2 linked regions of the Elephas maximus indicus genome follow. The protein of the gene in region 2 purifies or fractionates together with the protein of the main gene of each other region. This does not show direct contact. Links are inferred from orthologs where the notes say so. Each region holds a gene or a part of one and is shown on either strand. Other genes may lie near its edges.

The links.
Region 1: the proteins of DDX21 (region 2) and RSL1D1 purify together in Homo sapiens (affinity purification with mass spectrometry; 3 studies listed by BioGRID and IntAct, with this or other methods). This does not show direct contact. The link is inferred for Elephas maximus indicus from reciprocal best matches to the Homo sapiens genes DDX21 and RSL1D1.

The regions. Positions count from the first base shown.
Region 1 is NC_064830.1:69,943,654-69,958,904, forward strand, and holds the start of RSL1D1 (ribosomal L1 domain-containing protein 1), read right to left. Parts: upstream 7,068-15,251; 5' UTR 6,970-7,067; coding exon 6,880-6,969; intron 6,113-6,879; coding exon 5,973-6,112; intron 4,058-5,972; coding exon 3,919-4,057; intron 2,896-3,918; coding exon 2,747-2,895; intron 2,659-2,746; coding exon 2,557-2,658; intron 1-2,556. UniProt on the Homo sapiens protein: Regulates cellular senescence through inhibition of PTEN translation. Acts as a pro-apoptotic regulator in response to DNA damage.
Region 2 is NC_064834.1:18,980,619-18,996,023, forward strand, and holds the start of DDX21 (nucleolar RNA helicase 2), read right to left. Parts: upstream 7,593-15,405; 5' UTR 7,510-7,592; coding exon 7,423-7,509; intron 5,397-7,422; coding exon 4,947-5,396; intron 3,505-4,946; coding exon 3,429-3,504; intron 2,756-3,428; coding exon 2,577-2,755; intron 1,025-2,576; coding exon 907-1,024; intron 1-906. Other genes in the region: ATP-dependent RNA helicase DDX50, read right to left, coding at 14,685-14,954.

The sequences.
Region 1 (15,251 bases), on a different chromosome or scaffold from region 2:
CTGGCAGTCCATGGTATATTCAGTATTCTTCACCAACATAAGTCAAAGACATCAATTCTTCTTCAGTCTGTCTTATTCGCTGTCTAGCTTTTGCATACATATGAGGCACCTGAAAATACCATGGCTTGGGTCAGGCACATCTTAGTCCTCAAAGTGACATCTTTGCTTTTTAACACTATGCAGAAGATTTGCCCAATGCAATAAATACATCATTTGATTTCTTGACTGCTGCTTCCATGGATGTTGATTTTGGGTCCAAGTAAAATGAAATCTTAACAATTTCAATATTTTCTCCATTTATCATATCATTGCTTACTGGTCCAGTTGTGAGGATTTTTGTTTTATGTTGAGGTATAATCCATACTTAAGGCTGTAGTCTTCATCTTTGTAAGTGCATCAAGTCCTCTTTGCTTTTAGCAAGCAAGGTTGTGTTATCTGCAACCCAGATGGCGCGTTCTTCTTCATAGGGTCCAGCTTCTCGGATTATTTGCTCAGCATAGGTTGAATACAGATGGTGAAAAGATATAACCCCCACAAACACCTTTCCTGTTTTTAAACCACACAGCATTCCCTTGTTCTGTTTAAACAACTGTCTCTTGGTCTGTGTACAGCTTCTGCATGAGCACAATTAGGCGTCCTGGGATTCCCATTCTTTGCCATGTTGTCCGTAATTTGTTATGATCCACACAGCTGAATGCCTCTGCACAGTCGATAAAACACAGGTAAGTATCTTTCTGGTATTCTCTGCTTTCAGCCAAGACCCATCTGACATTAGCAATGATATCGCTCATTCCACGTCCTCTTCTGAATCTGGCTTGAACTTCTGGCAGTTCCCTGTTGATGTACAACTGCAGCCATTTTTAGGTTATTTTCATCAAAATTTTGCTTATATGTGATATTAAAGATATTGTTCAATAATGTCCACATTTCACTGGATCATCTTTCTCTGGAATGGGCATGAATACGGATTTCATTCAGTTAGTTGGCCAGGTAGCTGTCTTCCGAATTTTTTCGCACAGAGCACTTCCAGCGTTGCATCCATCTGTTGAAGCATCTCAACTGGTATTCTGTCAATTCCTGGAGCCTTCTTTTTCTCCAGTGCTTTCAGGTTCTAAATAAGTTAGAGGAATATCATCTCTCATTGTAGGTTTCACATTCTAGAAATTCCCTATACCTGAAATGAGATGCTGTAACAGAGAGGTGATTCAAGATGGGCTGGTACTTAACTGTGTGAGGCCAGGAAGGCCAGTGGGCAGGGCAGCTCTACCTTCATCCAGCAAATGCCAAACGCCGGAGTCAGCATCAAGCTGTCCAAGGGGAATTACCTTCAGGAATCGCAAGTGGAAAGCTGCTGCCTGGTATCTTTATAGCCCTACTGCCCCAACTAAGCTGCTCCCTTCAAAAATAAACAGTCCTCATTTCTCACATAATACTGTCTTCTGGTCAACAGCAAAATGATCCTTCAGATGAAGCAGAGATGTAAGCCAAGTGGGAAATCCAGGAAAGCGTATCGCTCAGCCAGTGGGACTCCCTGTCCCTGCTACACCCCACAGTCGGGTGTCTGCAGAATAATGATGAGGCAGGGGTTGGTGCTTCCAGCTCCCTTTAGCCAAACACAGGGTTCTGTGTGCCCTTCACCCCGGCCTGCAAGCACATCCTTGGCTTCCCAGCTGAAAAGACAGTAGCCAGAAGAAGGGAAAACTACTGTGTTGGGGAGATGAAAGAATGGTCTAAGTTTTGCGGGGTTTTTTTTGGGTGGGGGGGGGGCGGGGGGCAGTTGTCTACAGTCTTCCTTAAACTGTGGATTTTGACTTGGAAAAACCCAGGGCAGGAAACTCTTCCCCCTTATCTACCTTCATGGTTCTGCCCCCTCTTTCTCCTAGCTACTGGCTCCACAAGCCAGACCCCTGACCTAGCTAACCAAGTCCCATGAACAACCACCGACGCCAGCCTATAAACCAGGGAGGTGGAGGGCCTAGGCCTGAAAATCTACTCTTCTCAGTCACTCAACTATACATTATTCCAGAGACTTTCCACCTGCAGGCAGGAGGCAATACCAGAGTCCCCCTGTCCTGCCCAGCTATCTGCTCTGCGCTACATGGTTGGGCTGGCCTTCCTGCTAGGCAGTCATGAACTCTTTGGTTGTTTCCTGGTATGTGTTACCACTGGGTACACCCGGGCTCTTCGTCTTTAGGAGGAAATGCACAGCAGGGCTTTATTGGCAGGTGCCCACCCCCACACAAGATGCCCAAATGAGCAGATTAAATATTTCATACATGTATTTTAAGTGTTTAAAACTGGCCACATCCCCACTTCTAAAATCTGGTAAACTGCCAAGCTCTCAAACTTCACCCACCACTCTACCCAATAAACTAATAAGATACTGGCTGACATGAAAATCCTGACCCACTAATATTCTCTAAGTATTCATCTTATTTTCATTTCCTTAATATCTAGAGCTTCCCCATTCAATACAGTAAGCAGTAGCCACATGTGGCTATTTAAATTAAAATAAACCAGATTAAATATAAGCATGTAGTAATCCCTTTTACCTACCTGCAAGAACCATTTTTAGAGATGTTCATGACAGTTCCACCAATACAGTCATTGATTTCTTTTGATAAATCCTTGGCCAGGAGGTTTACACATACTGGGACTCTAAAAACACACAGGCATTCAGAATACAAATGGACACACACCTATTAATTTCATTCTGGTGAAGCATGGTCATGACAAAGAAACTTACTTCTTTCTGAGGTAGAAATGTTTCCCTATAATTGAGGGTAAAAGCCTCCTGATTCTTGCATCAGTAAGGAAGAAATCAAAACTACCCAAGAGGCGGAGCTTGGCTTCATAGGGTTTATATTCCTTTTTTAAAGTTCGGAGGGGGATAATCTAGAAAATATAAAGAAAAATAAAATCACAAAAAGTTAAGAACTGGAACAAGAAGAAGATGTATTCAGACAAAAATTGGTATTCCACCCTATTCAGATTTTAAGGCATCCTAGAGTCATGCAAACAATGCCTGGAGTTCTGTGGGGGCACAAACAGGTAAGTGCTCGGCTACTAACCGAAAGGTTGGCGCTCAAGAGATACACCAGAATAAAGGCCTCACTATCTGCTTCCAAAAGCTCACAGCCTTGGAAACCCTATAGAGTGCAGTTCTACTCTGCAACACCTGGGGTCGCCATGAGTCAGAATCGCCTCAAGGCCAACTGGTTTGGTATTTCTGGTTTAGAGCCATACCGATCGCAGTTTAGTAAACCCGAGTGCCTAAAATGTGCCAGGTATAATGCTAAACACTGGGGACACTGAGACAGATAAGGTGGGTCCCCAGCTAAAGAAACTTCAACCCGGACAGTAACGAAGACAAGTAAGCTAACAACTACAAAACCAAAAACCAAACCCACCGCTGTCGAGTCAATTCCGACTTTCAGCAACCCTATAGAACAGAGTAGAACTGCACCATAGAGCTTCCAATGCTGTAATACAGAAGCAGGCTGCCACATCTTTCTCCCACAGAGGGGCTGGTAGATTCTAACCGCCAACCTTTTGGTTACAGCTGAGTGCTTTAACCACTGCGTCACCAGGGCACCCCCAACAACTGCAGCACAGGGCAATAAATGCTAAATCATAGGCAACAAAAGGATGCTCTGGGAGTACAGGGAATGACACGACAGAGCAACCTCTGTATAATCCACAAGAGAGACCAGTTACTGACAGTACACACTTAGCTTTCAGGTCAACCAACCTTGATAGCTGCTGCAGCAGAGGGAAAACAGAATATACGCTATTTAACTTCATTAAAAGTTAAATTAAAAACAAAAAGAAAAACAGTGAAACACTAAGATATACAGTAATGTATTATTCATCACTTCAATTAATCGTTTGTCTTGAAAATATTAACCTGCTCCTTACCTGAGAAATGGTCTTAATTTTATGCTTGTTCAACAGATTCCTATAGAAATGTTCTGTTTTTTCAGGAGTTAAATTGGGTTCATCCTTGGTAAATAAACAGACTTCTGCTAAATCTGATCGAATAGCATAAGGCAAGGACCTGCAAAACACGAGAAGGAAGCAGAGAAAAATATCCTTACAAACAATATGTATGTTTATACTCTGCAAAATATACAAGTTTCCTATTGTTTCAATAACCTTCATTTATGTTATTTAAACAATTGCTGTACCATATACCTAGTTTTCAATAACACAGAAAAGAGATTTTAAGATTCAAGGAAATCGCTACAAATACCCAGAGGTCGAAAGATCAATTAACATTTGGGACTTAAAAAGAGTTAAAATGTAAACAAAGATGCCCCAAATATTACACATGTAATTAATATTATCTATGTTGCATACATAATATGCCAAACACATAGAAAAGAACCCTGGTGGTGCAACGGTTAAGCGCTCGGCTGCTAAACAAAAGGTCAGTAGTTCAAACCCACCAGCAGCTAGCTCTGTGGGAGAAAAGACCTGGAGATCTGCTCCCATAAAGATTAAAAAAAAATTTTTTTTTTTTTATAAAGATTACAGCCTAGAAAACCCTACTGGGCAGTTATACTCTGTCATATAGGGTCGTTACGAGTTGGAATTGACTTGAAGGCTAACTAGTTTCACTAGGATTGTCCTGGCTTAGAAGTTTACTTTCTGGAAAACTCTTAGCTCCATAAATAATAACAAGAGCTGAAACAGAAAACATGGAGCAAAACCAGGAGGGACCAGCAAGCACGCAATGATTATGTCAAGTCTTAAATAGGCTAACCTGTTCCCTAGGCCTCCATGTTCTGAGGAAACAACATTTCCTTAGCTTAAGAAGAGATGGCAATACACAGCAGCACGGCTTGAGAGGAAAGGTGAGTGCTGAAAGGCTGGTAAGTGGTAGAAATCACTAAGAGTAACACCCTAGAAAGGTTTGAGAAGGGTTTCCAAAAGGCTTTCCGAAAAACCACCTGAGCAAAGGTGTGGAAAAAAGAACATACATGGAGTGCACAAAGCAATACACAAGGCACTCTGGCTGAAGCAGGTTTGTGAACATCAGTTTTGTGAAGACCATTCTTGCCTCCCTATGGAGAAAAGAAAGTTATCCTACACAATGCTTTCTTAAGGACAGCTGACTTTCTGTCACTGTCAGGATACGAGAGACTTGACAGAAAGGCAGATACAATATAGAATGCCCAGTTAAACAGATAAACAACGAATCATTGTTTATTATAAGGAGGTCCCAAATATTGCATGGGATCTCCTTATACTGAACAAATCATATTTATGCCATAAATATGTCAACTCTACAGAGGGCATCTCTGACCTACAACTTCTAACAATAAGAATATGTAACCACAATGATTTTTTTCCATAAAAAAGAGTTCACCACCAAGTTTTTAATAAACCAGGTGCTGTCAGTCAATTCTGACTCATAGCGACCCCATATGTGTTAAGAGTATAACTGTGCTTTGTAGGGTTTCCAATGGCTGATTTTTCTGAAGTAGACTGCCTGGCCTTTCTCTCTAGGTGCTTCTGGGTGTACTCAAACTGCCAAACTTTCAGTTAGCAGCTGAGCATGCTAACTGTTTGCACTACCCAGAGACTCCAAATTTTTAATAATTTCTGTATGCAGGAGCAGGTCCAGGCCCTCATGAATTTTAGCCTAAAAATAGTATGACGTGAAAAGAATAGAGTCTACTAAAATACAAAAGCTGTTTATTCTATCTCTGTTCTCTCTAAAACTCAGTTTTGGATTCAGTAGAAATGCTTAGGTGAACTGGCTACCAAGCTCCCAGAAAGCTGGTGAAATTTCTAGAAAACCTTAGCATGCCTGAATTCCTAACATTCTTCTAGGCACGATTATTTATTTCATCTTAGATTTTTATTTTGAGTTTGCAACGTAACCACTAAAAACTAAGTTGCACTTGTTAAAGTTACAAAGAAAGACAATGCAGATGAAAACAGCAAATGTAGAAAATCAAACTTACAATCTGACTCTCAGCTCCTTCTTTGGAATTTTCCATAACACCACCATCAAAAATAAAGTTTCATTCTCATTCAGAAGCACTTCATTAGCATTTTTTCTGGACTGTGAATGTGCCAATAGAGCTTTCACTGCTTTTTTAACCTACAAAGTGGAAACACAAAATTAAGTTACATCTCGATCTAATTTGACATTTTCTCCCTCCCTTGTTTTTTGCCCTGACTTCTATTTAATAGGCAACCTCCATAACCATACCTATTAGGAACCGGCAATGTGTACTCAGCGGAATGTAAGAATTAATGGGAAATCGCCTAAGTATCTGCCTCCACCCCTCGACTACAGAAAGCCACGTCTTCTACATAAGACACTGTGCCAGACAGAAATACGCTTCCCCGGCCCTCAACGATGAAGGAGGTAATCCCTGAAGGAGATAATCCCGGTAAAAGAGCAACACAAACTGCAACTAGCATTCACTGAGCGCTTACAACGCGCCAGGCCCCTGGCTACAGCGCTTTACTTGCGTTACCTTATCTGATCCCGGCAAATGGAGGGCCGAAGAGCCCCCTTTCAATAAGAGGTAATCGGGGCTAGCAAAATTCAGTGACTTGGCTAAGACCAAACGGTTGGGAAGCAAAGCCAGGTCTCTCACTCCAGACCTCAAGTTAATTTGCAATCCAGTTAAAGAGAGCCAGGCCGCGGGCCGGGGAAAGAGGCGCCAAACCGCACGGATAAGAAAGCGAGCAGGCTGAAGCGCTAGCGAGCAAGTGTCCCCCGCCCCCAACCCCTCTCCCCCAGCCCCCGGAGGTGCCCACAGAGGTGCGCCAGGTCCCCGGCCACTCATCAGGCACCACCGCGCCTCACAGGGCCACGGGCACCCCGCTTCCGAACCGCCCTCCCCAGGGGCCACTCACCTGTGTTTTGCTCAGCTCCAGCCGCGGGTCCGCCGCGGCCGGGGTCGCCGGAGGCGAGGCTGAGGCTGGGGTCGACGCCGAGGCCTCCATACCGCCCTCACCTCGTGCAGAGGAGCGTGCGGAACCACCAGGGTAACTTCTCCCGAGCACGCGCCAAGCCAGGCCCGCAGCCGGAAGTAAAGGGGCGGCAACCGGGCCTACTTGCATCACTTCCGTGAGAGCGCGAGGTTCGGTTCCTGGGCGTCGCGCTACCGTAGGGGGGCGGACGCGAGTTGACTGAGTTACTCCGGCTGCAGTCGGAGTGATTTTCTTGGGACACATTCCTCTTTTTCCGTTCTCCTCCTGGTTTGTGTGAGGCCTGCTGACAACTCTTTCTCACTCTGACACGAAAGAAATCGAGAAAGCGCCTTGAGGCGGGAGAGGAGCCCCGTCAGCCGAGCCGTGGAGCCGTCCGTTCCCCCGGGCCCGCCTTCGGAAGGCCGCGTGGGGCTGTGGGGAGAACGCGGGTCTGGAGTCTCGCAGGTCTGCCCGGGAACCTGGCTCCACCACCCACCTACTGTGTGACTTCGGACGAACCACTTAACGCTTCCGAGCTCCAGTCTCCTCAAACGCGAGGAGAACGGTCGTGCCTCCTCACAGGGGGCCGAGGACTCTGAAGTAACACAAGGGACGTCGGGCACGTCGCTAAGCGGTGCGAGGGGCCGAGAGATGAACCGACTCAGTCTCTTAGGAGCTCCGGTCTCCCAGAGGCGGGAAATAAGAGCATAGACAAGTAAGTGTGGAGATTGGATAACGGGCACGGTGGAATACTGTAGAAAGCTTCCTTCCCTCCTCAGGTCCCCATCTGCCTCCTGGCATCCTCGGAGGTAACCTGTGTTACCAGTTTTTCCAGTGACCTTCCAGAGATGTCCTAGGCATATTGTGGAAATATCGATGCTTTTTATAGATCGTTGGATTTAAATTTCATCTTTTTTCCCCCCTTACTTCCTTTTTCCTCGTACTGTATCTTGGAGATTGTTCCCAGTCACTCATCTGTTTTAATGGCTGCACGGCATTCCACCATGTAGATATACTGTAGTTCATGTAGTTATCTTTTGATGGATATTCGAGATGGTTCCGGTCTTTCTTACAACCAGCTAAGTAAGATTTTTGAGAGATGAAAGAATGGAAGTAGAAGGCTTTCCATGTCAACTGTTTTGAAAAAATGCTCCTTTCCTATTTCCGAAGCTGGAAAAAGAGATATTCTGCTACTAATCTCTAATAATGGTCTTGTCTTTAATCCACCTTTTTGAAGAAATGTTCTTAAATCTTTGGCACCTATTTCTGTTTGTCTATTGTAGAATCTATTATAAAATGGAATTAGATTTAGCACAGAACAATGAATTTTTACATTAGGTTTGATGTATTAACATTTTCTAGTATTCTTAAAACAGTATTGGGGCTGTAGGATGCTCTGTCACCTGAATAAGTTTAAGAACCAGACTTCTAGGCCAAGGAAACCAAATGAATTCAGGTGAAAGAACTTGGAGGTGTTTGAAAGCAATAAGTGGCTGGAGCAGGGATATGCAGAGGGGAGGGACAGGAGGTGAAGCTAGAATGATAGGTCAGGAATTAATTCATTATCAAGCTGAGGGTTTATACTTACTTTGGAGAAATCATGGCGACACAAGAGGGTGTGTGTGTGTGTGTGTGTGTGTGTGTGTGTGTGTGTGTGTTTTGGTGGCACAGTGGTTAAGAGCTTGGCTGCTAACCAAAAAGGCAGCAGTTCAAATCCACCAGCCACTCCTTGGAAACCTTATGAGACAGTTCTGCTCTGTCCTATAGGGTTGCTGTGAGTCAGAATTGACTTGAAGGCAACAAATTTTGGTTTGGTGGCAAATATGTAGATAACAAAATATTTGCCGTTTCAACAGTCTTCATATGTACAGTTCAGTGACAGTAAATCTATTAAGTTGTTCAGTTATCACCATTAACCCTTTCTAGTTTCTCAATCATGCTTAACAGAAGCTCAGACACAAAGGTTTTGAACTGACGATAAGGAAGAAAAGAAGGGGGTGTTCAGTTACACTTTAGGAGTTATTAATCTGACAGTGGTATTGTGGTTCTTTTAAAGATACGACGTCATATGTCTACAATTTCTTTGATACTTTTTTTAAAGCAGTGTGGTTTAATTCCCTCTCCTTGAGTTAGTGACTTGCTTCTACCAAATAAACTGTAGCAGAAGTGATAGAAAATAGGATGTCACTTAAAAGACTAGGTTACAAAAAGATTGCAGTTTACACGTTCTCTTTTTTTCCTATCTTTCTCCTTTCATCCCTCCCTCAAGTCACTTGGTCTGGGTGAAGCCAGCTATTCTGTTGTGGAGGATACTCAGGCAGCTCATGGAGAAGTCTATGTAGCAAGGAAACCAGCAACCATATGAGTGAATATGGAAGCGGATCCTCTCCCAGTCAAATCTTGAGGTGACTGTAATCTCATGAGAGACCCTGAGCCAGAACCATCCAGCTAAGCTGCTCCCAGATTCCTGACTCACAAAAACTATTAGATAATAAATGCTTGTTGTTTTAAACCACTAAGTTTGGGGTAAATTGTTTTCCATCAATAGATAACTAATACAGATTTATAGACTTCCCATCTTCAAACCTATATCTCCAACTGTCTAAAGGACTTCTCAGAAGTTCTACAAGGACCTCACGCACAAGTTCAAGTCATGAACTCATCATCTTCCCCTCAAAGCTGCACCTTTTCCCATGTTTTCTTTGAGCTGCCTAGTTGTCCAGGCCAGAATGAGTCATCCTTGTCTCCTCATCCCCCATATATAGTCAATAAAGTCTTGTTGTTCATATGTTTTATGTTTTAAATGTGCATTTATCCAATTCTTTTTATCCCTGCCACCCTGTAGTGCAGGCTATCATATATATATATATATTTTTTTTTTTTGCTTAGATTACTGCAGCAGCCTCCCAACTTGTCTTACCTCCAATTTTGCACCTTATAGTCCATTCTCCACCCTTCAGCTGGAATGATCTCTGAAATGCAAATCCGATCATATCAAACCTGATCATGCTTAACCACATTCACTGGATTCTTACTCTCTTTAGGAACAGTTTAAGGCACTAATTCCTTAATTCGCCTTAGATATATCCTAGTTTGCATCCGTTGTCTGGTGTCCTTTCTGATTTAGCCTTTGTCCTAGACAAAAGTTTCTCAGTTTGAAAAATAAATTATATGGTCACCTTTGCAGGCCAGGCACTTTTCATCTGGTTCTGCCCTTATTACCTCCCCAGATTCATACCCTACTGCTCACCTTTTGTCTTTACGTTGTAGTTTTAACTATGCAGTTCCCACGTCTTCAGACCTTCCGACACACTGTTACTTCTGGAACACTGCCACCTTCTTGCACTTCCACCCCTAAATACACTTACTTATCCTTCTGATTTCTGCTTAGAGTTACTTCTGGAAAATTCTAGCTTAGGTTCTCCCCACTCCCCAAAACATTTAAAAATTTTCTACCATTATTTGGCTTTCCCCAGTTTGAGGATAAACTCTGAGAGGGCAGGGACTCTATGATACGTTCACCATTGTATCCTTAGCACCTAGCCCATATATAGCATAGTATTTGTGTAATGAATGAATAATACATTGGAATGGCTGAGACAGGGCTTAGGGATAGAGCAGTGGCAACTATGGTGGTTTTCTAGGTATTGAGGTCTGATGGCAGTGAGGACAAAATACCTTTAAGACTTCATCAAAAGCCGAATATACGAAGAGGAGAATTCAAAGATTACTCCCAAATTCTTGAGCCTGAATAACTGGGCATATGGATGGTGTTTAAATTTGGAGGGAAAGATATGATATTTATTCTCAACATTTTAAGTTCCAGTGTACATCAAAATGAATCTGGGAGTGCTTCTGAACTGCAGAAGGAATTTGGAAGTCATCTTCATAAACGTGCTGGTTAAAGCTGTGGAAATAAATGAGACTGCAAAGAGATACAGAGAAAGATTCGGGCTGTGGAGAAGCCCTCTGTTAGGGAAAAGGAAGGGAAAGAGCCAATAAAAGAGGCAAGTAGTTAAGTGTGTAAAAGAAAACCAAAAGTGTTCCCTGTTCCAGTAGCCAAGGGAATGGAGATATCTGAGGATGTGTTAGCACTGACAAATACTGTAGAAATTGAGAATATATCTGATAAAAGGCCATTTTGTTGAGCAATTAGGTCATTGGTGACCTTGTAGAAAGCAATTTCAGTGAAAGGATTATGAGTAAAGTAAGTGATAGGAAAAAAATGGGACTTTTTTGTAAAAAATTTTACACTAAGGCAAAAAAACTGAATGAAAGTATTTTTGTGTCCCAGAGAATTTGTTACAGGACCAGTTCTTTTTCATATTAGTACCTTACATTCAGTAGCCTGACTCTTGACTAAACTCTTAAACCAGAGATTAGAATTTTTTAAAAATGAAAATGCCCTAACATATAAATTAACCTTGTATAAATCATAGTTTTAACCATTACTGCTTATTCTTATGAATTTGGGCACGATTATCATTGTTTCCATTGAAGTGAAATGTTGAGAGCTCAAATATGGAGATGGCATGAGTTAAGAAAACGTGCAAGTAACATTGAATGTGATCCAGTGCACATTGAGAGGGAGACGGATCATATCACAAATTTGTGTAACTGAATAACAAAAATATTTGTCAGCTACAGGAATTTTGTTTTTTTCTTGTTTTAGGCAATCTATTTCTAGCAGAAAACATGGGGGAAAAAATGAACTTTTCATGCAAGTAATTTGGGCACACAAAGCCTTTAGAAAAAAAATGTAATTCCAAGAAAATTTTCACTTCTAAGACCAGCATGTTGAATTAACTATATAGAAAAAATTAAATATAAGGAAAACTAAAATGGGATGTCATAACTGTACATGAGTTTCAAAATTATTCATACAGCATCAAAGTGGCTATAAAGGCTAAAAAGAAATAACCTTGTCACTAAGGAGGGTACTACAATAAAAATAAAATTTTCCAGAACCTTTTTTCACATGGCCAAAAAGGCGAAACTAGTTGTCGTAGTTCCTTTTATATTGGGGGGACTTTAAAAGTCTGTTACTGTTATTTGTTCATCAGTAGTTCTACAGTTGTTCATCACAAAGCTACACCAAGGTATTAATGCTATTTTTCTGTTTTAAGATGTGTTGATAGGAAGATGCTGCAGTCTTTGAAACTGGTTGCATATGCCAAGAATTGTAAAAATTTCTATTGTGAGAACTACAAAGACATTATTATTGGTATCTACCCTTTGTAGTATAGTGCCTATATGTGTTTGATGCCCAAAGACAACACAGTTGTTCTTTCAATAACCCGCATAAAGTACAGATGTTTGATTGGCGGGATGGGAGACCTAGTCATTTAAGACTACAAAATTGTGGTTAATTACTGGGAGAAAATACTGAAGTTGTCAAGAATTTCATTTACTTGGCACCACAATCAACACTCATGGAAGCAGCAGTCAAGAAATCAAACGACATATTGTATTGGGTGAATCTGCTACAAAAGACCTCTTTAAAGTGTTTAAAAAAAAAGAAAAAAAGCAAAGATGTCACTTTGAGGACTAAGTGCACCTGCCCCAAGCCATGGTATTTTCAGTTGCCTCATATGCATGCAACAGCTGGACAATGAATAGGGAAGACTGAAGAAAAACTGATGCCTTTGAATTGTGGTGTTGGCAAAGAATATTGAATATACCATGGACTGCCAGAAGAATGAACAAATCTGTCTTGGAAGTATAGCCAGAATACTCCTTAGAAGAGAGGATGGTGAGACTTCATCTTACATAGTTTGGACATGTTACCAGGAGGGACCAGTCCTTAGAGAAGTACATCATGCTTGGTCATGTGGAGGGTCAGCAAAAGAGAGGAGTGAACACAGTGGCTGCAACAATGAGCTCAAATGTAGCAACAATTGTGAGCATGGCAGGGGACTGGGCATTGTTTCGTTCTGTCGTACACAGGGTTGCTGTGAGTCATAACTGACTCAGTGGCACCCCACAACCATTACTGGGAAATGGTCTCAAAAGCCATTTACTTAGAACTTTTATAATTGAGCCTCTCTTTTGATAGCAGGCTTGCTCACTAAACTAAGACTGCTTTAATGCCAAACCCCTAAACTAGAAGGTGAGTACCAAAACACTGGAGTTATAGTTTAAGCAGGAACTGATTCTAGCTCACAGAATAAAAGATGAGTGTATAGGAATGTATTGCTGCTCATTCATTTAACCCATGTGTTTAACCAGTTATGGCTGAGTCGATTCTGATTCGTGGTGACCTCGTATATCAGAGAACTGTGCTCCATGAAATTTTCAGTGGCTGATTTTTCAGAAGTAGATTACCAGGCCTTTCTTCTGAGGTGCCTCTAGGTGAACTTGAACCTCCAAACCTTTAGGTTAGCAGCTGAGAACTTTAACCATTTGCACCACCCAGGGACTTCCAACAACTGTGTATATTACCTGTTTACCATTAATTTCTTTTGCCCTTGCTCAGTAAAGAGGGGCAAGTACCGTTTGGTTTCTTGATTTTTATTAAAAATACTGAATATAGAGGTTCACAGTTCTGACAGAATAATCATTGATTTTCCCTAAGTCTGCTGTTCAGATAAAACCACGTTACTTATAGCATTTCTAGTTTTTTATAGGGCTGCTGTTTTCATTATGGTTCAGTCATGTACACCACACGAGCCTTGCTTACCATATGCAAGCAGACCGCAAGTTTGTAAATTTCTTACACTGACAGCTTATCAGATCCATCCAACAAATCTGGTAGACAGTTCCAGTACTTGATATAAAAATACAGGATTGTATGCAAAGTGGACAGACACACTTATGGTCTGGTGAAATACAAGATTATAAACAAACAGACAAATCCTTTAAAAGGGAAGATGACAATTTTTATTGTTATTACAAAAGCTTTTTTTTTTTTTTCAATCATTTGAATAATTGCAAGAGCAGACTAAGAGTTTAATCCTCACACAGGCACCATGTCAGGCACAGTAGGTAGCTACAAATCATAAGAAACAGGTTTCTTTACCTCTGGATTCCTGTAATTCCTTTCTAGAACATTTTTTCGTGCTTTCAAATTAGGTTAAAAAACTTTTAACTTAAGTCAGTTCCCTTTAATCCTATTAAAAAAGAAAAAAGATCTAGATATTATCCTGTTATCTAATAAAAATTATTCACTTAATCCTGGCCTGAAAGATATCCTCATTTCCTTTAGAAATAAACTGAAGAAAGTAAAGGGTATGTAAATTTCTGAGCCCAAAGTATGAGTCCTTAAAATGCAGACCTTCCAGGCTTAGACCTGTTACACTTCTGTGAGTAGAGAAAATGGAAGGGAGGACAATCCCCTGAGGGGTGCAAGAGCGCCAGCCCCAGCACACGCTCTCCACCAGTAGCAGGAAAGGAGGTAGCAAGGACTTGGGCTGACATCTGAAACACTAGCTAATGTGCCTGGTACAGGGGAACCTCGGAAGTAGAAAATGTCATTCCACCTTTGCTATCCACAAACCTGAGGTTTCCATGTTAGATTTTAAAGGGCATGTGTGACAAGGCAGAAGAGATGAGAAATCCTGGCATAGTACCTGTTTTTCCCTTATACTGCAAAACATAAAGGTTTTAATCTCCAGTCCCACACCTGTAGGCCCTTATAATAACTCCTTAGTAAACAACTCAGCCAGTATTATTTTTTCAAGGAAGCATAGGATTAGAGGTATGTGAAAAGTATGTTTAATGAAGGGAAGACTCAATGTTCTAGGATACTGAAAATCAAGAATATCCCAGAGCCAAAACCACTGAGAAAGTTGAACCAAATCTACCTTACCTGAATCCTGGCAGTAATTGTTTCAAATGGAATCCACTTTACTACTATTGGGAAATAAAAATACTTCCTATTCCATTTCCTGTGGAATCTAATATAACCAACTGACTGCTAAATGGAAACTTAAGTCTTTTGAGTTGTGCATATATAATTACACTTATTTAACAAATTTCTGCCATTGGCAGAATGAAACAAGACCATGAATATATTAGATGGTATCTGCTAGAATCACTGTATAATTAGCTGGAGGAAATAAAAATCATCCTCAAATCTAGTTGATTGCTATCTACCTTACCTATGTCTGTGAGAGGATTAATGGCACAGTTTGTTCTGATAAGGTAGGCCAACACTGAGTATAACATTTAATCATCCTATAATCAGAGCTATAGTGCTGCACCCAGAATTTTCATAACAGGTTTAAAGGTTCAAAGTTGCCTAATGTTAAGAGCTGTAATAAAAACTGTGTATTTGTGCCTTGACTATCTTAATCCCTACCCAAAGCAGTTTCATC
Region 2 (15,405 bases):
GAATATATAGCAAAGTGTGTATAAATTTTTGTATGAGAGACTGACTTGATTTGTAAACTTCCACTTAAAGCATAATAATAATAATAATAAAAAGGAACGTGGAAGCGAGTGAACTTGGTACGTTCAGGAAACTAGAGTTCACCGTAACTGGGACGAGATGGGAATAATGCAGCTTTTACCGGAATTCCTTTTGAACTCTTGGGATACTGGGCACTTTACATACATTTTCCAATTCAATCCTTACAGCACCTGCAAGGTGAGTTTATTAACTCTGTTCTACAGATGAGAAAACTAAAGCTCAGAAAAATTAAGCAACTTGAACTTAAGAGTCCCAAAACTACCCTATAGAGTCTAGAATCAAACCGAGGTCTTTTAGATGCCAAAACCTATGCTCATTCCACCAAAGAGTCACAAGCCTTATGTGTCAAAGCTAAGACCTTTTTTTATCCCTTATATACCTTTTGAATTATGAATCTGCTCTACATAATAAAGCTTCCAGGTCTTGAACTGAGAAGTAATGGATTATGGGAGCAAAGGTTGCACATCTGGCCCTTGGGCCTAGAGAAAAGGAAAGCCTGCCTGCAGCAAAAAAGGAGGAAAGATGCATAAGGGACAGAGATCCAAATTCTTGGAGAGAGAATGTGTGTTATCTTTGATTCTGACTTTCCAGTTCCCAGGGCTCAAATGGACTTTGTCCTCATTTAGATAAACAGATAATAAGAAGTCTTAAAGACTGTGTACACGATTTGGCACATCATCAAACAGGACCATGTTCTTGACCATCTTCAAACAATAATGGCAAAAGAAAAATGTCATAAATGACTAGACAGATGTCATGATCAGAAGAAATCCAATCAGGATATTCAACAATGGAATTTCTCTTCCCTCACTTCTGGATTTACTTACATTGACCTCCATAGGGCGTTCCACCATAAAAACAAGCCACTGCCAGCTTTTTTGTGATGTCACTGAAGTCTCTGCTTACTTGACTTGCCAACTCCCTTGTAGGTGCTAGAACCAGTACCTGAAAAGGAAAAGCTAATAATTGAATTAAAAGTATCGTGTGGTGTTTGTTTCTTAGCAGAAGGCTCAACAGAATTTACCAAGTATTTTCAAAACATTATGCGCTTTGTAATGTACTGTGTGTGTCTGTCTAGAATGATCATAAATTTAATATGGTTCCTGACAAATATACTCAGAAGAAAATGTACCAGTCAGAAGAGAAGTCAGATGCCTAAATGTGTGGTGCTCCAAGAGGCTGGATGGAGCAAGTTGGGAGAAACTGGAGGAAGTTTCATGGAGTTCCTAGTCTTTAAAGAATAGGATTTCAGGAAAAAAAAAAAAAAAAATATGAGCAAGAAGTAATGCTGATAATAGCTAATGTTTGAACCCTTACAATGTCTCAGGCTCTACTAAATTCTTTTTATGAACACCTTTTGAGGTACGTATTAAAGATGAGGCAGAGCCTGGATTCAAACTCAGGCAGTCAGGCTCCAATACCTGTGACCTTAACCTTTTTACTATACTGAATCTGGAGTAGAACAGCCAGGCAAGTAAGGCAGGGTCGACACTGTATTGGGCTTTGAATCCTAAAGCTGTCAGAGTTTGATTCACAAGGGCATACAACAAGAAACCACTATAGATCCTTGAACAGGGAACAGCATGAAACAAACTTCCTTGAAGAACAACAATCTAATGCATTCATCCAACAGACATTTACTGAGCATCTACCATGTTTAAGGCACTCTTCTAGGTGCCAGGGCCATAGAAGTAAACAAGTGAATTAATGAAAGGGAAGCCTGGACACTGGAAGGCCAGTGAGCAAGTGAGGTCAGGACAGAAAGACAGGTGTGAGACCCCACAGCTAAGATGATAACGGGGTAAATAACTCGACCAGAGTCACATACCTCTTCTGCAAGTATAGTCTAGAATCAAACCCAGGCCTCTATGAAGCCAAAGCCTATGGTCATTCCTCCATAGTTATTCAGTGAGGTTAAGGTTTGTCAAATGCCAGGCTCTCCTGAAATGAGCCTAACAAGCACCATCCTAATAAAGGGGTTGGCCTCTTCCCCTCTTTGAGTGCCTCTTTCTAGTCATGCTTCCCTACTGAAAATGGCTTCTCTAGAAAGGTCAAAAACACATGACCCTCAGGGACAGGGAACATGAAGAGGATTAATAATACAGGTGATCACAATCAAGGGATGGATTACAATATTTAAATACAAGGTTTATAGTCAATAAAACCAAAACCCATTGCCATCGAGTCAATTCTGACTCACAGTGACCGTATAGGACAGAACAGAACTGCCCCATAGGGTTTTGAAGGAGCACCTGGTGGATCTGAACTGCTGACCTCTTGGTTAGCAGCTGTACCTCTTAACCACTACACCACCAGGGTCTCCTTTAGAGTCAATAGTCGATAGTTTAAAAAAAAAAAAAATTCTATCTGCAGGAGATAGAATGGGTGACTTTAAAGAGATCCAAATAAAAAATAAAACGTATGTAAACAACACTAAGGAGATGTTTTTTGTTCCCCCCTATGACAATGCAGAGCCCTAGAGATATGTTTTAGTTACCTGAGGGGGACGGCCTCTCTTCTTGTCTTGCAGTTCTCCATGAAGTTTCTCAATCAAGGGGATGGCAAAGGAGAATGTCTTCCCAGTTCCTGTCCGTGCCTGTGCAATTAAATCCTTCCCACTATAGACATGATGAAATGTCTTCGCTTGTATAGGAAACAGGAAGTTCACCCCACGAGCTGTGAACACATTAACCTTGTTACCTGATATAGCAATTCTTAAAATACCAGCCATACTGAGGCAATAAAGTAACCCATGTTTCTGATCTTGAAGAATTAAGGAATTTTACTTTCGGGTCAAATTTTGAGTTCTACAAAGTCAGCTTCAAATATATTCTGGTAGTAAAGAACCTGCTCAACTGAAAACTATCGATAAACTCTAAAGCACAAAATATGGTAAATATTTGTCAATTTAAGAGATTGCATAAGTCACTTATTATGAAGTCTTATTTGTGTTAATATGAAAATCAGGTGCTTTGCAGTCCAAACTGTGCTGCACTTAACAATTTAGAAAATACCTATAGTCTAGCATCTGTGACTAAGTAGCTAGTGCACAGGCAGACTACTAAAGTTCTCAGTTAGGCTGGCGTCATTAACCTAGAGGATAAAACAGAAAACACTACCATGACATTGCTCATTTAATCTGACCAGCAACATGAGTCATTACACTTCTGAATAAATGTTGTTTCTTTAAGAGGCAGTAAAGGCCATCGCAACTACAGTCCTATACTGAGCAGGCAGGAATGCCTCATTACATGGCTGCATAAGAATATATCTTGGGTCACTCCCACAAAATACCAGAGCATTTCAAAATAAGGTTTTATGTATGGATATAGTATTTCCAAAATATTACCTTTGAGAAGTTTAACAGTTGCTTCAGATATGGGAAAATTAGAAAAAGCTCCTTCTTTCTGTTCCACTGGTATTTCCTATTGGGTAAAGGGGGACAGCATTGGAAACAGGAAATCAATCACTCTGCCCCTACAAGTTAACAAAGAGAACCCTCCTAAGGAAGATGAAGGAACCTATTCTAAAACATCCCTTGTAGACATAATAATTTAAAGTCAACCGAGCAGACACAAAAGGCTTGGTTGGTAAATCAAGTTCTGAAAAGGAAATAATCTATAAAACCTTAACAAAAGAAAGAATCTACACCAAATATATACTGCACATAAAGTATGCACGGCTGGCAAAGGGAGACTCAGTCTCGACTAAGAACTATCCCATGGCCGTTCCAAATGAATATGACTGTCAACACCCTGTTGAACAAGTCACCAGCCCTTTTCACAGCAATATCACTCATAGACATCCAGCCCTTTTCACAGCAATATCACTCATAGACATCCATAGAAAACAAAGAACATTTTATGAACAAAGATGGTCCTTGTGGCATTATTTGATAGTAAAAAACCTGAATGCCGATTAAATAACCGAATTTCTAAACATTCGTCTGATAGATTATATAGCCATTAAAAACTTTAATTTAAAAACAGTTGTATATATAAAGAGTACTACATAAGGAAACAAAAAAAAAATTAGTAACAGGTTACCACTGTACCTTGAAAATGCTTAATATTTAATAAATGAATGAATGCTGAAATTATAGTGATTTTCTGGGGGAGGAGGGCGGAATTTATGAATTTTTCAAATTCTCTAGATCGCGTATTTGTTATAATCAGGAAAAAAATTTTTTAAACATTCATCTTCTGATACATGGCACACAGAAAATTGCTTATTATGTTTTTCTTTGATAACTGAATTTCTGAAAGGTAGTAACAGAATTAGCTTCCAAGTTAGACAGAAATTTACTCATCTTGTTGATGGCAACCAAACCCATTGCCATCAAGTCGATTCTGACTCATAGCGACCCTATAGGACAGAGTAGAACTGCCACATAATTTCCAAGGAGCACCTGGTAGATTCAAACTGCCAGCCTTTTGGTTAGCAGCCATGGCAGTTAACCACTATGCCACCAGGGCTTTCAGCTAGTTAAGAGCCTGAACAAAAGCATTTCTGCAATCAAGCAAATACTTTTTCAGGAGTTCCACTTAATCCTGATGAGGTAAAACCAGGGAAGCTAGGTTCCACCTGTACAAGATCTCTCCTATTGATTTACTGATTTGCAAATAAGGAGAGAAAACTTTCCCCAAGCTTAAACAAATCTGCTTATTTACAAAGGAGGCATTTTGATCCTATACAATTTTGAAAAATGAGATGAAGTTTCACTCTGTATGTAGCTCAAGGGACCGCTATGAAATGCTGACACAACGAATTTCCTACCACTTATGAAACAGAATGTGTAGGAATTACCTACCTTTTAATCTGAAACAAGAAGGAAAAATACACCCTATCTATTAAAATACAAACTTACCTGTTCTAGTTCACTATTACTCTCTTCACTTGTGGCTTCACTGGAGTTAGAGGCAGGTCCAGAATGAGGAAGTCCATTCTTCAGTTTGGGCTTTTTCTCTCCAATTTCTCCATTCATTTCCTTTTCTTTCTTTATCTTCTTAGGCTTAGGAGCACCCATTTCTTTTTCAGAAGGCTCCTCATTTTTTATCGCTTTTTTGATTTTAGGAGACCCAACTTGATTTTCAACAGGTTCCTTTTTCTTTTTTACATTTTTGGTTTTAGGAGACATAGCGTCATCTTGAGATTGCTCTTCTTTCTTTTTTACCTTTTTGGATTTGGGAGAATTAATTTCAACTTCAGAAGGCTCTGCTTTCTTTTTCATTTTTTTAGCTTTGGGGGAACTAGTTTCCTCCTTTTCGTCTGCTGACTCTTCAGTCTTATTAGATTTTGGCTTCTCTTTCTTAGCTTTCTAAAAAAATTAACAGAAATTTGAACATTGAACGAAGCTCCTATACATCTGCATAATACATCACTTCTGGATGACTTTAAGATTACTGATAATTATGAAGAATGAAAGTTTCTTTTTGGCATTTCAGTGTTTGTACTTTTCATCTTACAATAAGGCAAAGATCAAACTTAGTATTTTTTTTTAGCACCACTTCTTAGCTATATGAAGCTAAGTATACATCCGTAGTTTCATTAGCTTGGAAAATCAAGAGTGGCTCTTAGTAACTATTCAATTCATGCTGGTCGTACAAGTCTATAAATCAAATGTTCGTAAGAGATTTGGGATGCTCTAACAGCTCTAAACTAAAGCAATCGAGTACATTCAAATGTAACACTGACAGAATAACAGGGTCCTAAAATGCCTATAGATGGATGTTAAGCAGATTTCTTTTCTTTGTACCTACTAGAATTCCTCTACAGGTAAACAGGGATTAATAATATCTGCCTTGCCTATCTATTTCAAGTGCAAATGAACTTACATAAAGATACTTTATGAACCAAAAGGCTGTAAAACCCCACAACTTATCACCCCATGCATAAAAATGATGTGCCTAAATTAAAGTAAAACAAAACATACGAAAACAGCACATGTTACAAATAAGTGGAAGGGATGAAACCCTAAAACCAAACTAGACAGGTAGATATGGCTAACTGAAATTTGACCCTAACCTTTCACATTATTGAAAACTTATTACAGTCAGACTTTGACAGGTGTTGTAGCCTGGCACAGCCTCAGCACTATTATACTGAGTTGATATCTTCCTCCCTTAAACTCCAGGTATGGGTTCCAGGCCTGGCCCCTGTTCTAGAATCACGGATTAGGGGTAACCTCTCTCTCACAAGATGGTACTAGGGGGTGGGAATCTGGTCTCTAAAGGCTTCTTTTCTCCAGTCCTTTCATCCCTTCTTCTCACCAAAAGAGTGGGTTTCCCATCTCAACGAGCCTCTTTTGGAACATAATGGAGTTTGGTCGTGCCCTCCTAATTTGAGCATCCCACACTGAACACACTGACTGAGGCAGAGTAAGCAAACCAGGACCACTAACTCCCCACTGTGAAGAAAAGTTTGTGCTCCCTTGTCTTCCCACAATGCCAAAATGCTGATTCTGTAAGAGCTCCCCATCAAAAAGACTCAGAAACAACTGGGAAAAGGTACTCTAAGTCATGTACAAAATAAGTTCAGGGCCAATCTGCATTCCCACTGACCTTATCTCAGAACAGAAACTCAGGCACAAATTAAATCACTGTGTAGAAATCGACACCAAAAAAGCAGACGCTGTCAAGATAACTAAACACTATTGCACTGCTGGCCTATATTAAAAAATGGTGTACAGTTAGCACCACAGCACGGCTCTTTACATTTCCACGGAAAATCTGATCAATAAATATTAGGAGTAATTAAAATGCCTGGTCTTCAAAGGGCTGCTTCTCAGAAAACAAACTACTTCCCTTAACTACGGCAAAAAAAATTTCACTGCTAACGCTGCCAGCATTTGCCGGTCCTCTAAAGATCCCTCCCCACGTGGTAGATAGGTTTAAGATCTCACAGGTCAGTCCCTACTGCCTGGACTTAATTTACAATTCGCCTTCGAGCACGCTAACACCCGAATTAAGTCTGAACCAACGGGGTCCTGGCGGTGAACTTCCGACTCCGCGCCATCAGATGCGGGAGCCCAGACTCCGGGGACCACGTGCGACACCCAGGCCGCTTTCCAGCTGCGATCTGCCCGGGCCTGGCTGCCAAAACTCCCCAGGACTGGTGGATGCGTCCGAGCTGAAAGGGAGAGTTCGGTGCGCGGCGGAGACGGCTCCATCGGGCGGGCAACACCTTCCCTAGGGGCTCCCTTGCCGAGATGGCTGCCCCGACTCCGGACGCGCCAGGTCCTCGCCGCCCAGCCCGGCCACCTCCCCGGATTCCAGGGCCCCACCGTCCTCAGCGCCCAGCCCCTCGCCCTGTCTTGCTCTGAGTCCCTCAACCCCCCGCGGCACCTTCTCATTTTGCTTTGGCGGTATCTCCAGCTTTCCCATGGTCGTGTCTGATTCCAAAGCGGCGTCACTAAGGAGTTTTCCCGGCATCACTCAGGACAACCTCGATAACCCAACCGGGCTCGTCAGCCGCGTGGAGAGGAAGAGACAGAAGTACCTCTTTAGTCCACCCAGCTTGCGTCACTTCCGGTAGCAAAGCATTTTGGGCGGAAACTGGTCGCACAGCGAGGCTGAGCGGACCACGTGGTAGTTTTATGTCACCAGCCGCAGACATTACCTGGGGTTACTTAGGGAGTTGACCACGTAATGCGGCTGGACGAGGGGCACCTACAAAAGGGTAGAGCTGGGAAGGACCACAAAGGTTAGCTTTGTATTTTCTTTCAAACACTGTTCTCGCCAACCCCAGCCTGATAGATGGAGACTTTTCAGTGCTCTTCTGTATACTAAGATCGCAGAAATTTGTAAAGCCCTTTCACATACAAACGCGCGCGACTGATCATCTCTGAAGACTCCGAATGGTGACGCCGCCACTTAACGAGCCTAGGTAAGCGCCAGAATTTATTCATACGTTCAGTTCACTTAACAAACATCCCCTGAGCATTCACTGTCAGGTGTGCAGAGAAGGGCTAGGATTCAGAAGCAGTTAATACACAAGCCTTGTCCGCGCAGCTTTATAGACTGGTGGAGGAGATAGACAAGGGTTCATTGTTCTGAAGGCACAAGCTTTGGGACCAGTAGAAGGCACCCAAACCACCGGGAAAAAAAAAAAAAAAAAAAGCCATTGCCATCGAGTCGATTCCAACTCATAGCCACCCTATAGGTCAGAGGAGAACTGCACCATAGAGTTTCCAAGGAGCGCCTTTGCTGACCGCGGTAGCCCTCAATTAGAAAATAACAGGGGTCCCCAGTCTTGCGTATCAAACAATATACATATGCAAGCAGTTGAGGAAAAGTGACCCATTGAGTGATCTGTGACTGTTTTAAATTTTCTGAAGAACTAGTGACCCAGAGTATTGGGAGACAATTCATCATATCTGGCATTGAAACCTACCTTTGCCACTATTTGTCTGGGATTTTTGACACCTTACTTAGTTTGAACCTGAGTTTCTCATGCATGGAACAGATAACAAAACCTACCTGATCTGTTGAGAAAATTAAATAAATGGGTTTAGTAGTGCACAGTAAATAAGAGCTATTAAAACAGATGTGTCACAAGTGCTTGGAAAAACAATTTAAAATATTTCATTTTATGGCACAAATAAAGGAAAATGCTGTAACAATTTCTATATTAAATTAGTTTTTACTACACATTTTTTAATCTGACAGTTTTAAGGGAAAATCTCGTGTTTCACCAGCTTATTGTTTGGTGTTTCACAATCTCTACCTTTTTAAGAGATAAATTTATGTAAATGTGCAACAATGCTTTAACTTACACCCAGATATTCCTGAGCCAGGAGCCTTATCCATCTTTGTGTTCTCAGCATTTCAAAAACAGTGCCTGGCACATAGCAGGCTCGCTAAATGTTTGTTGGTCACTAAAATGGCAATTGGGGGAGGAACCCTCAAAATAAATTTGATACATATGATGCAAAGGCAGTACAGCACTTCAGTCGTCTTCGTGTCGGGTGTGACAGGAGGAGCACACTTGAATGCAGTCAACGAATCAACCGACAAAATCTTAACATCTGAGGTATCAGCACTGTACTTCGGACTTAAGGACACAGAGTCAAGGCCCAGTCCCTGACGCAAGGGACCTGCAATCTGGTTGAGAAACCGTGTGATACTGCTGTATACAGTATGGGGGATGTGTTTATTACCTTAAACAGATGTTTAACAGGAGAATAAGCCCCAGAATACTACTAAATGGAAAACTGTTGTCAAAGCTTATATAGATTCCTTTGTAACGTACCTCCACGTGGCACAAGATCCAAATTCCAAGAGGGAAACACACCGAAAGTTCCTTTTAGCTCCAAGACAGTCAAATTATTGAATCTAGTTATCAATATAAAATTCAGGAGTAAGTGAAAGAGATGGGCCTTATATACATTTGGTAGGAAAGGCAAAGTCCTAATTATTAATTCTGCCAAACTAATTTCCTTTGACCTAAATGATGTAACATGTTTTCATAAGATTAATCAGTTGCCATTGAGTTGATTCTGACTCATGGCAACCCCACGTGTGTCAGAGTAGACCTGTGCTCCGTAGGGTTTTCAATGGCTGATTTTTCAGAAGTAGATTGCCAGGCCTTTCTTCCAAGGTGCCTCCGTGTGGACTTGAACCTCCAACCTTTCAGTTAGCAGCCAACTGCATTAACCATTTGCACCACCCAGGGGCTTGTTCTTAAGATTAGGGGGACAATTTCTATTTTAAAAGGTATGTATACATATACACATATGCACACACACAATTCAGAAGTCTCCATGACAAAATGTTAGCAGTAGTTATCTCTGGGTGCTGTGATCCTTTTTTCAAGTTTCCAATAATAGACATGTATTACTAATAAGAAAAAGAGAATATGGTTTAAAAGGACTATTCAGCACCCCCAAAATATATAGGAAACAAAAACAGTGTGAGAGAAGGCTCTCCAACATTCATTCCTAAATGTGAATTCATTATTCACACTTACAGTGCTAAAGGGAAGAAAACATTTTATTTATAAATTCAAAACCCAATTCTAAGGGCGACTGATTCAAATTCAAACCACTGTTCAGTGAGGACACTAGCACACAGTACCCAACAGAAGGCTCTGAATAGCCAGAAGGCAGAGCCAAGAGGAAGGAGCAAAGATAAGTGGCTGAGTGTAGCCAAAGCTCCTTTCAGAAGATATGGAGAGCTATTTTGAATCTTATTAGGACTCACCCCATCTTTCTTGGGTGAGAATAGGCTAATAGGGAAGCCAGTCTTCAGTAGGTAGGCCCCTTAAGTCCATCTTTCATCCTATTGGTATTTGCCCAAATACTTTTTCACTGTCTTCCCTGTTGTTAAGTGCCATTGAGTTAGTTCTGACTCACAGTGACCCTGTGTACAACAGAACAAAACACTGCCTGGTCCTGAGCCATCCTCACAATTGTTGTGCTGTCTTCCCTAAGAAGTCTTCAGTTGCTCTCCAAAACAGCCTACAAATCCCTCCAAGATGCGACTCTTGCCTTGCTCTCGCTACTCCTTTCCTTGCGTGAAGATTCTGGCACCAAGAGCTACTTACAGTTCCTCATACTTAGACCGTGTTGTTTTATTAGCAATTCTGTGCTTGTCTGGATGCCCATGCCACTTCACTGTTTCTTTCACCTGACTTAATTCATGTTCAATCATATCCAAAAAACTTTCTTTGAGCCCCCATCCCTATTCCTGGGCTGGGCTAGGTGCCCTTGCACAGAGCTCTCAAATCAATGCCCTTCATTCATTGCCACGTATGATGTTCCATCTATTTCATGAGATTTTGAGCTCTTGAGGGCAGAGATTAGGCCTTCTTCATTCACTTTTGGACCCAAAGCATACTGCCTGGGACATTGTGGGCACACAATGTATTCTGGCTGAATGTACTTCTGCATCTTAGTGAGAACTGAGCCTCTATTTTATCTTGGTTCTATAACTAGAGCTCACAGTTATGCAAATAAGAGTCAACTGAGATTTTTTTTTTTTTCCTCAGGTATGGCCTTATGGAACCCTGTTTCCCATAACCAAAAGTTCCCCTTCCTCAATCCATCAGTCTTTCCCTCAGCTTAGCTTAACTGAATTCTGGCTCTACCTGAAAAATATACCCTCTGCAGTTTTCTCACACAGATGTTGTTCATTCCATCACATTCCATGTACTCTGCTGTCACTGTCCTCTTAGCCTCAAAGCCACTTCCAGACTATTACTCCTTCACATTCATGTAGAAGCCCTTGTCCTTTTGAGGATATGTGATAATATCACTGTATATACTCCTCATTCAGATAGTTTACCAACCTGCCCATCATACACTGATAATTTGGCACCTGGCTTAGTCTTTTTCTTCCTTCTCAACGCTGGTTTTTCTTCATCCTAAGAGACTTCATTGTCCAGGAAAACCACCTGGTTTCTCAGCTCCTTGACCACTTCAACTGAAATGAACTTAATCCTCACAGGCCTACTACCACACCTCCAACTTGTCTTCTTACCTGCTCCACTCTTGAAATCACAAATTCACAATCCTTGCTGACATTTAGTCCTTTGCCCCCTCTACATTCTCCATTATGATCCCCATCTCCATTTCAATCCCTAGACAGTCTAGATTCCATGGAACATCACTCCCATCAGTCTTACCAAAGTCCTCAACATCCTTGCTTTGTTACCCTTTTATTTCTCTCAGAGCAAAACCCTAATCCTGAATCAGTCAACTGTCTCCCTTCTCCATTCCTACCGCCAGAATGTTGAGCGTTGCTATGGAAAATCACTCTCTGGTGCCACCACAAGTCCAGTCTATAATCTCAGCTAGACTCTCAAAGCTGCTTGTGACTTGTCAGTTTGCCTAGTGAACTCTCTTCTTGTTCTATAGTTGATACTTCGGCAGTTCTCCACTCTCCTCAGATCTCCTAGCCTAATATTTCCTTCTTTACCCTCAACAGATGAACTTGTAGGAATACCACAGAAAAGACAGAAGACATGGGGCAGGTACTCCCTTGGCTTTTTACCTTAACACCTGCAAACTCACCTCATGATAATCTTACTTTCCTCCTGATAAAATGTTACGAGATTTGTCTCTCCCATCTGAGGCTAAAAACTCCACTTGTGTACTTGATCCCATCCCTCTGCGTTTTCATTAAGGATTGTGCTCCATCATACTTTCTTCTGAATCTTCACAATTGCCTTCCTCCTTACCAGCTCCTTCCCATTAGTATTTAAACACACTCAAACATGCCTCAACTCCCCCCCATACACACATATAAACCCTTACAAACTCATCTTTTTCTTCCTCCAGCTTTAGCTTTTTCTTGCCTATTCGCAGCCATATATGAGTTGTCCAAGTTTGCTGTCCTTACTTCTTTATCTCCACTTCCTGCTGAACCCACTGTTAAATGACCTCTAAATATTCTATTAAAATGTTTGCTCCCTATGTCAAAATTTATTTTTTGCCAAATCCAGTGGTCACTTGAGGCTCCTCTTGTGGTTCCTTTAAAAAACCTCATCCTCCTGGGCTTTCTGCCCTCCTCAAGGGTGAGATAGATGGGATTCCCTTTCCTCTGTTATCCAGTTAAGTATATTGGTATGCCTTTTGGTTCCTTCCTTAGCCCTCTTACTGTACTTGCCCTGGATAATCTCTACTACCTTGATTATAATTACCATTTTTTGCTTATTATTCCCAAATGTGCATTTCTAGAATGTATCTCTCCTCAACTTCAGACCTAAAAACCCTACCGCTACTGTTTATCTCCTCTTATATATCCTAAGGACTACTCAATATGAACATATATCTAATCCTGAACTAATCATATGCCCACCCCCATCCACATAACTTCTCGTTTCTCCATCTATTACGCTATCTCAGTGACAAAAATCTAAATTTCATATTTCTGTTTCTGTCTCATCTGTTGATCCAATCACCAAGGCTGACAACTCTGTCTCCTAAAAACCTCTGGTATCTATCCATGTTTCTCAACATCCACTGCCACTATTTAGCACAGTAGTTAAGAGCGCCAGTTCAGAAGCCAGCCTTACCTTGGTTCAAATCCTCCTTCCATTATACATTAGCCAGCTGGGTGATTCTGGACAAGTAACAACCTCTCCAGTGCCTGAGTTCTCATCACACAAACTATGATACCTATCAGTTCTCACCACTATCACCTCTACCTTGGACTACACTGACAGCCTCTGAAGAGGTCTCCTGGCCTCAAGTCTGGCCCTTCTCCAATTCAGTCTCCTCAGTGTGGCCAATAGTCTTTCTGAAACACAAATCTAATCATGGTACTTATTTTAAACCCTTTAATGGTTCCCTGCTGGGGGAACCATTAAAGAGCTGGGCCGCTAACCAAAAGGTTGGCAGTTCGAATCCACCAGCTGCTCCTTGGAAACCCTATGGGGCAGTACTACTCTGTCCTATAGGGTCGCTATGAGTCGGAATTAACTCGATGACAATGTTTTTTTTTGCTTTTTACTGTCCTCAAAAGGTTTAAACTTCTTAACATGACGCACAAGGCCTTTAAAATCTGGCCCAATTAATACTAAAACCTATCTCTTGTATTCCTGTCTTCTATCACATGTAAACCATACTGAACTAGTTGTATGTCTTTAGACTTACCAGGTTATTTTTTGCCCCTACGTTTCTACATATGCTGTTTTCTCTGCCTGCAAATCCTCTCCTGCCATACACATACACTTGGCTAGATCAACTCATACTTTTGCTTTACTTCTCTGTTGGTTACCACTTCTCCTAAGCCTTCCTAACCCATAAAACTGGTTGGGCGCACCTGTTCTAGGTCTTTAGCATCCCATGCCTACCTGTAGCTTGGCCTTCACTTGTTAATCTCTATCGTGACTGTCTGTTAGAGTGTAAGTTCTTTGAGGATAATGATTATACCTGTTCACAATATTTCCCAGTGATTAGCATCGATACTGACACATGGTAGGATTCGATAAATACTTGTTGACTACATCGTTGTGCACTTCTTACATCTTTTAGTTAACTCCACCTAGAAATTTAATGTGTTATACCTAACCAAGGAGCCCTGGTGGCACAGTGGTTAAATGCTGGGCTGCTAACCAAAAAGTCTGCAGTTTGGATCTACCAGCTGCTCCTTGGAAACCCTATGGAGCAAGTCTACCCTGTCCTATAGGGTTGCTATGAGTTGGGATCGACTCTATGGCAGCAGGTTTTGTTTTGTTTTTTTCTTTATACCTCACCAACCATGTATCACCAATTTACACAGCCCTTCAGAAGGGATTTTGTATTGTCTACCACATAACCTATAGGAGGAATGACCTGAAAATACACATTTTGTAAAAGCAAGTAACCTTAAGTAGAATCTTGATTACCAAATTTTAGAAGAAATATAAAAAGATTACACTGAAGAAATCCTTAACGCATAGTGAAAAGAGACAATAAAAGGAGGTTTTTTTTATTCAAAGGTATAACTGGATAAGTAGATTTGTTTACAACCATTCTTGTGAAATACTTTTTAAAAAAATACGACCAACTTCTTTGCAAACAGCAGACACATACCTCAACTATGATGACCTAATTTTTGGTGGGTAATGTACATGATTAGGCAGAAACAGACAAGCTCACACTGGTAGATTAACTATCAAATGCTCAGTCAAAACTCCGTTTGTGGCCCCCACTTCTTGATCGATTTCTATTTCCACTTCGTCTTCTACTGTCTTGTCGACTTCCTGACCGACTTCCCTGTCGACTCTGTCTACCTGACCGGCCACCAGATCGACCTCCTGACCGGCCTGACCGGCCACCTGACCAGCCACTCCTCTGTCTGGAATTAGAAGATGTATTTCCATCATAGTATTCTTCAATTTCAGGTAATTTGGCTGGCACTGAGAGTATCCAGTCTGAATCATGCCACTCTGCCTGTTAGGGGAATTTACAGGATTAATACAAATGCAAAATAGAAACTACAAGCAAGCATATGAGTATATCCATTATCACTACACTTAGCTAAAGGCCATCTACCCATTCAATTCAAAATGTCTGGAACAAATATGAAAACCAAAGAACAAAAATGTGCTCAAAGCTCATCCACTAAAGTTCCTGAGTTTAATCTCAGGACAAATGCTCAGGCCCATTTTGAGAATCTATATTTAGTTTATAAACTCTAAAAGAGCACCATCTGGTTTCAAAGCAAACATGCCATTAATAAGTACTGCATTGATTTAAAATGGTATACTGATAGCAGTAAGAGCTGGTGAGACTAGAAACCTGTCAGCACCAGTCAGGGACTAAGACATGTAGCCACTGGAGACAATTTGGTACACAGATTAATAACTCAAGATACACAAATCATTCGGTCATAAGAGCATCA